Linked DNA regions of Drosophila melanogaster. The protein of the gene in region 1 interacts with the protein of each later gene in a pairwise test. Each region holds a gene or a part of one and is shown on either strand. Other genes may lie near its edges.

Region 1 (4,916 bases):
AGCTGGATGACCATTTTGCCCTGAAATCGATAAAGACCCTTAGACAATGCATAAGGCTTCGGGAAACGGACACTCACCAGGGTGATGGCCACGTGCGAAAAGCGTTCGTAGGTCTGGCAGATGTACGACAGACCCGACTCATCGAGCAGGATCTTCTGGATGATGAAAGTGGCCACAGTCTTGCTCAGCTCCGATCCGCTGTCCATGATGCTCAGACAAAGGGGCACGATCTCGGTGGTCAGCAGAAAGGTGATCACCTCCTGTTCGTCGGTCTGTCGATAGCAGTAATAAGAAGACAACAAGTGCATTAGTGCATTAGATGACCACTGGCCTTCGGCTTAACCTACCTTGACCAGAGCACCAATCACGCCCAAACTGGTCAGGCGCAAGTACTCGAAGGGCCTGGTCTTGGACGTGGTCGACAAGAAAGGGTACAAGTACAGCGGTATCTGGGCCTGCAGGAAGGCCGTGCGAGTCTCCGGGTGCGAGGCGACGCACTGCAGCAGCGCCAGGGCGTTGCACACGCGGTTCGACTGGTGGGCCGTCAAAGTGGGCGGCGTTATCGATGGGTAGATGTTAACAATCTCCTGCAACAGGGCGCAGGCGGTCCCGAAGCTGTTCCACAGCATGGGGGCCAGGTCCGTCTCACGCTTCTTGCTTAGCTCGAGCAGAGCGGTTTCACGCGTGTCCGGATGGGCCAGCTCATTGATCCACTGGTACACCTGGCGGGCGATAAGTTAAAGCTAGCACGCGTTCTTGCCGACATCGGCTTACCTTCTCCTGCTCGGTCTGCTGCTGCTGCTGTTGCTGCTGCTGCTGCTGCTGAGGATTCATATGCGGACTCGGTTGAGCACTCATCGTGTTAACTTGACAAGATCTGGGTAAGAACTGTCGCCGGACGCTTGCAATGCACTTAGTGTCGGCGAGAACTCGCTGAACGGAACGGGACCTGCGAAAAGGAAGAGGTGGATTCCTATCGCCGGACGCTTAGATCGGGCGAGAGTTCGCTGAACGGAATGGGGCCTGCGAAAAGGAAGAGGTGGAACTAGCGATTTGTCGTCGATTTCTATAGCCGGACGCTTGCAATAGACTTAGCTCGGGCGAGAATTCGCTGAACGGAACGGGGCCTGCGAAAAAGGAAGAGGTAAAACTGGCGATTTGGCGTCTATTGCGATTATCGATAACGTTAGCAGGAAATTCCTTTTGCATTGGTTTAAGTCTAAAATGATCGAAAACAAGTGGCGACAACCAGGATTATGTTGTGTGCCGAACAGTGTGGCCAGAACCGCGCAAATGCCGCTGGAAATTGGTGAAACGCAAGCGCGCTATTTGTTTTCCAGCGTCGATGTAAATATGTACATAAATTTAAATTTTCAGAGAAACTTCCCGCCGTACGAAAACACAAAGTCTGAATGAAATCAAACATGATTTGCCAAATACAACTGCTTGCGCATGCTTTGTTGGTGCAAAATGCAAAAGTCTACAATTTTGAAGAAAATAGGCTTGATATCTTTGAAAAAGGATGACATTGCAAAGAAATAATGAATGGACGTGAGCGCGTGATTGCGAATGACCGATGATTACATTGATCAAAAGTAATAACCATAATGGGTATTTTAATTAGGTTATAGTTCATAATTTGCATGCTAAAAGCTAAAAATGCAATTTAGTAAAGACGCATTTAGCGGTAGTCAAGTGCACCGACTGGTTTGTATCCCGGCTATCCCCGTCGATTTTGTGGTATTTCTTAGCACATTCCCCGCCAGCCGGGTATCTAGCTGACAGCCGCAAAACGGCCACACTGATTTTCATTTGTCGTGACGAGTACCTCGGAATCGAAAAGAAAAAAACATAAGCAGACAGGCGAAACAGAGCATTCCGTTCAATAATGAATGCATAAGAACGTTCGACGCGCGCCGAGAACCAGTCTGCATACGAGTCGTGCGTGCGGCCAGCGTGTTGGATATATTTTTTTGAGGTTTGCGCCAGTTTCCAATGCACTCTCGTGTCGCCCTGCCTTCTGTACCATCGAATTTGAATCGTTAAAAGTGCGTGGAAAAGTGTACGAATCGAAACCAATACACGGAAAGTGGGACAACGGCGACTGAGAGAGCTCGTTGCGCTTGTCTCTGTGTCGCTGCCTTTGTGTGCGTACGACTGAGCGTGTGTGTGTGTGTGCCGTTCTGTTGCTGTTGTGTGTGTGTGTGTGCATGCGTGTGCACCGCCGATGTGTGCGTGCGAGTAGTGCCTACTGCGGCCGAGAGTCGAGTGTTGCCCGTGCTTCGAAATCGCATTGAATCGTATGGAAAAATGTGTTTTACTTCTCGCCCAACAACGCCGAACGCCTAAAAAAGAAAATTGCCGCACGGCGTCGCGCAGCATCAATCAAAGTGCATAGAAATATGAGCATGCCAATGCCAGCAAAGGCAAAGGCAAACGAAATAGCAAATCCAAATCGCAATCGCGAATTGTGCACGCAAATCAAAAGCAGGCGCTCTTCTACTCCACCATCTTCTTTTGTCTGTCTCTGAGCGACGACTTTGCCGCATGGTGAGTTTGCCGTTTGCTTGTCGTTGCTGCTTCTTCTTTGCCCCGTTCGTTATTGTTGTTGTCGTTGGTATTGGTAGTGGTAGTGGTTGTAGTGGTGGTGTTGGGTCAGGGCTTTGGCGGCGGCGTCGTTGTTGCTAATTTTGTTGCCAGTGCACTGGCTGTCGATATTGCGCTCTAAAATCGTGCTCACAATAATATTAGTCCTAGTGCAGATAGATAGATGCTTGCATTTGGCCAGTAGAAATGTAAGCATACATATACGCAGGCCAGGGCAACCAACCCATATGAGTGTGTGCGTGTCGTGCTCCTTCGTATGTGTGTGTGTGTGTGTGGATTTTCTCCATGCAGCGGCATCGACTGCTTGTGGTGGATTTGGCCGCCAGCGTGGTGAATTCGCGTCAGTGTTGCCAGCACACACCAGTAACAAACAGGCCATAATTCGTGGCGGCGCGGCTTTCTCAGTATTTGCCTATCCCGCTGCTTCGCTGCGCTCCTCTGCGCTCAACGCCATAGCCATTCCGCTTCATCCTCATCTTCCTCCTGCCTTTTCACGTTCTCCCCCAGTCGACAGCTGTGTGCGCATGTTTGCAGCGCTTATTATTTATTAAGTGTTGTTGTTGTTGCCCTCGCCGTGGTTCTTCTTGTGTTTATTTCGCTTGAAGTTTTTCGCGGCAATTTCGAGCGGTAGTTTTTCAGCGCCGGAAAATCGTATTGCATTTTCATCGGAATTTTCGGCTGGCGACTGTTTAAACCTGCGCGTCCTTCGGTATTTACAAATACGGTTTAATTGTTTAGACATGTGCTATAATTAGTTCGTAACTCTACCCGGCTTTCATTCAATTTTATTCTTTCATTGGGCTCCAATAAGTGTGTATGTACAAATGTACATATATGTATGTATGTATGTATGAGTGTATTTGTGGGTGTGTGTGTCTGTAGGTCGTTCCCCTTTTCAAATTGTCTCTTTTTAGTGTAAACAAAATGCATCCCTTGGAGCGGCAATTATACGCATTATTATATGCTGTATTGGCGGTTTTCTTTAGGATTGATTTCACATGCAAATTTAAGAATTAGTTGTTGAAAGTCCCGAATCTTATCGACTGCTATCATGCACCCTGATCTAAAGTATCGTCCACTTCTTTTTGCAGGCTGGCGGCCCACTGGACAATCGAATATAGCAATGAATGATTTACGTCAGCAGCAGATGGTAGCAGCGACATCGTCATCAGGATCGGAATCGGGAACAGCGGTAGAATCGGCAGCCGCCACGTCCACAGCAGGATCAGCCGGAGCAGCAGGTCGCCCCCAGTCTAACTGTAGCGCTAATAGCAACGCCAAGTCAGTGGCAGCGAGCAGCACGAGCGAGGAGGAGCAGCGAGTTAGCTCCACGTCGTCGCCAGCCCAGCGGGATCAGCAGCTGAATGCAGATCGGGACCGGGAACAGGAGCCAGAGCCACAGCAGCAGCAGCAGCGGGAGGAGGCACTGCAGCACCAGCATAATCAGCCCGGCCATATAACCAGCACCACAGCGTCGCCTCCGCCGACGCTGCCACCGCCGACGACGCCGTGCGACGATGCCCCAAGCACAACTGGAGCATCTGCATCGGCCAGCTCAGCATCCGGAGAAGCACCATCAGCAGCATCAGCAGCGGGAGCAGCAGGTGGACCGATGGCCGCTACGGCGCTTGAGGTAGAGAGCGAGGAGCGGGATGGACATAAGATCATCCTGAAGCTCTCCAAGCACGCCAATCCCAACTCAAACGCAAATGAATCTCAGCCGGGCGGAGATGAGAGGCGCGTGGAGCCCCTGCGCATTCAGCTGCCCTGCGGCGGAGCGGAAGGAGGCTTGGTTGCGAAGCAGCAAGATGCCTTCGATGCGGACGCCTCTTCCTGCTCCTCGTCGTGCGCCGAGGACGAGGTGGCTACCACCCTCGGCCAACAACTACGAAACACCCCGCACATTGTGCCAAAGCTGACCATCCGCGCCGCGAACGAGAGGCGCGTAGGCAGCGTGGTGCCTAAGCTGACCATCAAGTTGCCTGAGAATCCGGCTGCTTCCGGCTCCAACTCCAACTCTGGATCGTGCTCAGCAGCTGTGAGTGGCGCCCAGTCAGCTATGCCCGCCAAGAACGATGCCCACCTGTCCAGCCTCTCGCCCGCATCCGCCTCGTCTTCATCTGCCTCGTCCTCCTCCTCATCGTCGTCGTCGTCCTCACTGGCGGAGATGCAGACGGTGCCCAAGCTGATGATCAAGACAACGCTAGCCGGTAGTAGCTGCATCAGCAGCAGTGAGGAGCTTCCGCAGCAGCAGCAGCAGATACCAAAGTTAACAATCAAGACAGGTGGCGGCGGTCAGGAGCACGTGC
Region 2 (4,692 bases), on another chromosome or scaffold:
GTGGAGAAGGTCCTGTGGCATCCCACACAGACCGACTACTTCATCGTGGGCACCAACGATGGCACCTTGCATTACGCCGACAAACGTTCTCCTGGACAACTGCTGTGGTCCGTAAAGGCCCACAACGAGGAAATCTCCGGTGTGTGCTTCAACAACCAGAAGCCTAATCTGCTGACCTCCACCTCCACGGAGGGCACCCTAAAGGTGTGGAACTTTGATGGCACAGAGGCAAAGCACGTCTACGAGCACGAGTTCAACATGGGTCGCTTGCAGTGCATGCGCCAGTGCCCCGAGGATCCCTACACCCTGGCCTTCGGCGGAGAGAAGCCTCCGCGCTGTGCGATCTTTAACATCAAGAACTCGATAGCCGTGCGCCGAACGTTTGGAATCCCTGATGCAGAGTAGGCAAATCGTACAGCTACGTATTTATCTGTGTATATGCTTTATATGACTTTTAAATAAATATGAATTATATATAAGAACCTTAATGATTGACTTTTATATTAATTAAAATTTATTGATAACTTGCGCATATATGCACTTTACACTTTTATGCTTAAACAACTAATCGACATTTCAGGGGGGATGGGTCACAAACGAAATACAAAACATTAATCCTAAACATTCCGAGCATTCCTTAACACTACATTACGTATACCAAATAAGCTTATCTGTGCTCCTAACTCTTGAATAGACCCACGCACATCAGGAGATTTCGGCGCGTAAAGTGCAGGCTGACAAATGGCGAGTTCTTGCTGGGGAAAGTACGCATGAGGTAGACGTCCTCGTCGTTCTCATCCTGATGGTGCGACACAGTGATGTGATTGCTGATATAGTCTTCGGTAACCTTGTGAAAGTCCCACAGAGTTAGATTGTTATCCAAGCCGGCTGCAGCCAGGACTGTTCCATCGCGACTAAAGGTGATCGTGGTCACAGTGCTAGTGTGCCTCAACAGGGTGGTGACCAGGGATCCGTTCGACAGATCCCAGATGATGATATTGTGATCTACTGAACCCGAGGCCAGATACCGGCCGCAGGCGGAGAAGGCCAGAGAACTCACCGATCCCTTGTGGCCCGTCATCAGGCGTACCGACTGACCGGTCATGTTGTCCCACAGGCGTACCGTGCGATCGCTAGAACCGGTGGCCACATAATTGGAATTGGGATGAAATTGTACACAATCCACGTCCGACAAGTGACCCACGAATACGCGCAACGCTTGATTGGAATCCGTGGCCCACAGACGAGCAGTTTTGTCGTACGAACAAGAAACAAAATAGTAGCCATGCGGCGCAAAGCGAACATCCCACACCGGGTAAACGTGCCCGCGGTAGGTGACTACGCAGGACCAGGTGAGCAGAGACCACAGCCTTATGGTGCTGTCCTCGGAACATGAGAGCAACAGGTTCATCTCGGGGGCAAAGGCACAGCGGTATACGGGTCCGGTGTGACCCATTAAGCTCCTGGTTACCTCACCACTTCGGTCATCCAGCATACGCACATTGATATCCGCCGATTCCTTGTCCAGTTCGCGAAGGGAATCTGCATCCTTCAGCGTACGCAGCTTCGCGGGCGTCAATGACCAAATCCTCACGCTAGAATCGCCAAATCCACAGGCCAACATCGTGGAATCGTCTGAAATCTCGGCACAGGTTACGCCCTGATGGGAATTAAGCACCGTGTAGAAGACGGCAGAGGGCAGTTGATCCTTGCTGAGGGCTAAACGCTTGCTGGCTTCCCTGAGAGCCTTAAGCTTTAGCAACTTGTCCGAATCCTTCAGTTCCGGCAGGGGAATTCTGTCGATGGATGGAGCATTCGGATCCGACTTGGACTTTTTCGACAGCAGGGGATCCTTTTTTGGCTTTTTCTTTTTCGGACGATCCGGGGCATCCGGATCATCGTCCTCCTCCTCTGGTGCCGGCGCTGGAGTGGTCAGAGTCTGAAAGTCCACCTCCTTGAGCAGTCCGTAGTACACCCGCATTTTGTTGTCCTGTCGCTTGGCCTCTCCGAGGTGCGAGCCCGCGGTGGCGACGCACTGCAGCTTGTTGCGCGCCATGCCCTCGTATGTGTCGAAATGCAAGTACTTGGAAACAATATCTGCCACCACTTCCTGCCGGCGATCCTGAATGTGTCGCTTGAACAGAGAGTGCGAGTCCCTGGACATGCGAATGACAAACTTATCCTGCTCCATGGCTACTACGAGGTCATTCTCCAGCAGCTCCTCGGGCTTAGACAGCAAAAGAAGGTTGAAAAGACCCTCTATGTAGTAGCCGTCGAGATCGCATTTGTACTTCTCAATGAATTCTTTGGCCTTCTCCCTTAGTCCACTGGCGAGGATCTTGAAGTAGATCTGCACCAGAATTGGGTACAGAACCATGGACAGCTCATGCTTGTATATGTCCAGGGAGTCCTCAACGAAAGTGCGCAGCTCCTTGTATGCCTGCTCATAGTGCTGAGCATCAAAGCTGTCGTCGTCGATGAACTTGGCCAGTTCCTCTGCAGCATTGGCCTCCGTCACCGCGGACTGTTTATGACCCTGCGCCGGAGATTGGACATGTTTCCGCTCCCGGTTGGCATCGCCAGCTCCCAAAACTGCGCCCAGCACCTGCTGAACATCACTTTCGCTGATTTCCGACAATTCCACACTGCTCACATTCGCCTCTTGGCAGAGCAGCTCCTCAGTGCTCTTCAGCTGGTACTTTTTGATGAGTTTCAGCAGGCACAGCAGCTCACGCTTGTCGTGGGACAATTGAGTACCGTTTCCCCCGTTTATATTGCTCACTTCCAGGCTCATTTTCGCGGAAAATTGAAATATATGGAACTTGTGTACTATTTTGTTATGCGTGGAAAAGTGTGACCAGGTTGGCATCGGTTGAAAACGGCCAAGTGGAGAATGAAATATACTAAAATGCACCAAGTACAGTCAAAATATACAGTAGCCACTAGCGAAGACGGATTCTAAAAATAAATTGTATTAATACATTATAAATTATATCTTTTTGCCAATTTTTGGAATTACTTAAAATATAATGACATATTTCATTCTTTCATTTTACTACAAAATTAATATTTAACTTTTATGCAGGTCAAAGAAATTATTTGAAGATGTGCTTATAAAGGTCTTACTGTGGACAGCTGACTGAATACTTTTAGTATTTTTTGAGCAAATATCTTACCAGAATCAAAACATTCGTAATGAAGAGGAGAGTAATTGTGAAAAAGGTAAAATACAAAGTAACTGGCCAAATAAACAAGCTAATTTTTATAGCAGAGGGTAATAATTTGCTGTGCATTAACAGAATTAACTTGCCATTGCATATTTCAGTGTATTTGTCTGGCGCCTATCCCCCAACTCCTTGAACTTTGACACCGCCTCCTCGAAATTAACCCTTGTACTCGTGCTTTCTGTTGTGTTTAGTCCATATTTATTGTAAAAAATGAATGAAAATGATGATGCGGTAGGTCCATATGTAACATTTAAGCCATATTAGCTAATATCGTGATCAATTCCCGCAGAAAAAAGTCGTCGGCAAGCGGAATTCGGTGTCGTTCGATCAACAAGATCCAGGACAGCCGAGATTTAGCTTCTCTGGGAGAGTACAGGAGCTAGTCGAGGGCTACAATTCGGCCATACAGCTGCTGGCGCCCAAGTGGCCCTGGTTCCTCTACCCCGGATATCTGACATACGCCGTATACTGGCGTTACGCCAAATATTACAAGGGCAAGTTTCTGCTGACCCCCATTCCGAACCGCCTCTACGATCTGCTGATCAAGAACGAGCAGATTAAGTCGGAGCACCTGGTGTTCGCCAGTCAGGAGGTGTACGAAAACTATGCGGAATCGCCGGACGTCAACTTTGTCAACTTGGTTATCCGCGGCAGGAGGGTAAGAATCGGTAAGCCGCTAGCTTCAGACGAAGGAAATATGACCCAAACGGTTATCAAGCAAATGCTCCAGGAGGCGCCGCATACGATTGTGGCCCAGATCTTGCCGGCTGCACAGTGCCAACCCAATTGTCTGTACGTTCAGGTGGGTATCTAGTTCTAAATAAATGGAATATTTTCTATAATTCTACATCGTGTAAAATTTCAGGAGAACTTCTACGGCAACATATTGGATCGCTTTCAAATCCGCTCCAACTGCTGGGTGCAGGTAGAGCATTTTGCCGATGAGCAGACAATACCTGGAATAGCAACCAAAGCACATGTGTACTTAGTCGCAGATCCCCATGAACTTCCCGCCGAACTGACAGAGGTCATCCTGAGCAACTATTTCAATACACCTCGACTCATGCATCGTGGACATACCTACCGCATCGAGGTGAACGCAGAGTTGGTGGGCACTGCGACTTATGCCCACTATTACCTGATATTCGCTCACCTACGCCACGTCCACCTAAAGTGTATTCACCTGGAGACAAAGGGCAGCGAGTTCGAGCTGCAAGCGATTGTTGCCAAAAACTTTAGCAACCTTGTTCAAGTGCCTGCATCTCACAGTTTCCTGCCTCGTCAAGTGCTTGACAGCATGGCCATCGTTGAGAACTATCCAAGTGGACTTCGAAAGCCCTATAAGCTGTTGCGCTCCTCAGTAGATGCTTTCCTGCCAAAAAAGTCCGCCTGCCTGTCGTCAAAGCACATATTTCCTGTGTTCCTCCTGCAAGGCGAGCGAGGATCGGGCAAATCAAAGCTTGTG

The links. The genes of interacting proteins can lie anywhere in the genome.
Region 2: the proteins of e(y)3 (region 1) and Taf5 interact in binary tests that used the Drosophila melanogaster proteins (3 or more experiments, as listed by UniProt).

What each region holds. Positions count from the first base shown.
Region 1 is NC_004354.4:19,635,252-19,640,167, reverse strand, and holds the start of e(y)3 (enhancer of yellow 3), read left to right. Parts: upstream 1-1,798; 5' UTR 1,799-2,795; exon of another isoform or gene 2,796-3,316; intron 3,317-3,698; 5' UTR 3,699-3,730; coding exon 3,731-4,916. Other genes in the region: Rcd-1 (required for cell differentiation 1), read right to left, coding at 1-20, 78-272, 348-722, 775-858. UniProt on the Drosophila melanogaster protein: Essential transcription regulator during early development. Coactivates transcription of some euchromatin genes and repress transcription in of euchromatin genes translocated to heterochromatin.
Region 2 is NT_033778.4:10,876,812-10,881,503, forward strand, and holds Taf5 (TBP-associated factor 5), read right to left. Parts: upstream 2,863-4,692; 5' UTR 2,795-2,862; coding exon 680-2,794; 3' UTR 501-679; downstream 1-500. Other genes in the region: nclb (no child left behind), read left to right, coding at 1-405; Pex6 (peroxin 6), read left to right, coding at 3,196-3,222, 3,517-4,029, 4,093-4,692. UniProt on the Drosophila melanogaster protein: TFIID is a multimeric protein complex that plays a central role in mediating promoter responses to various activators and repressors. May play a role in helping to anchor Taf4 within the TFIID complex.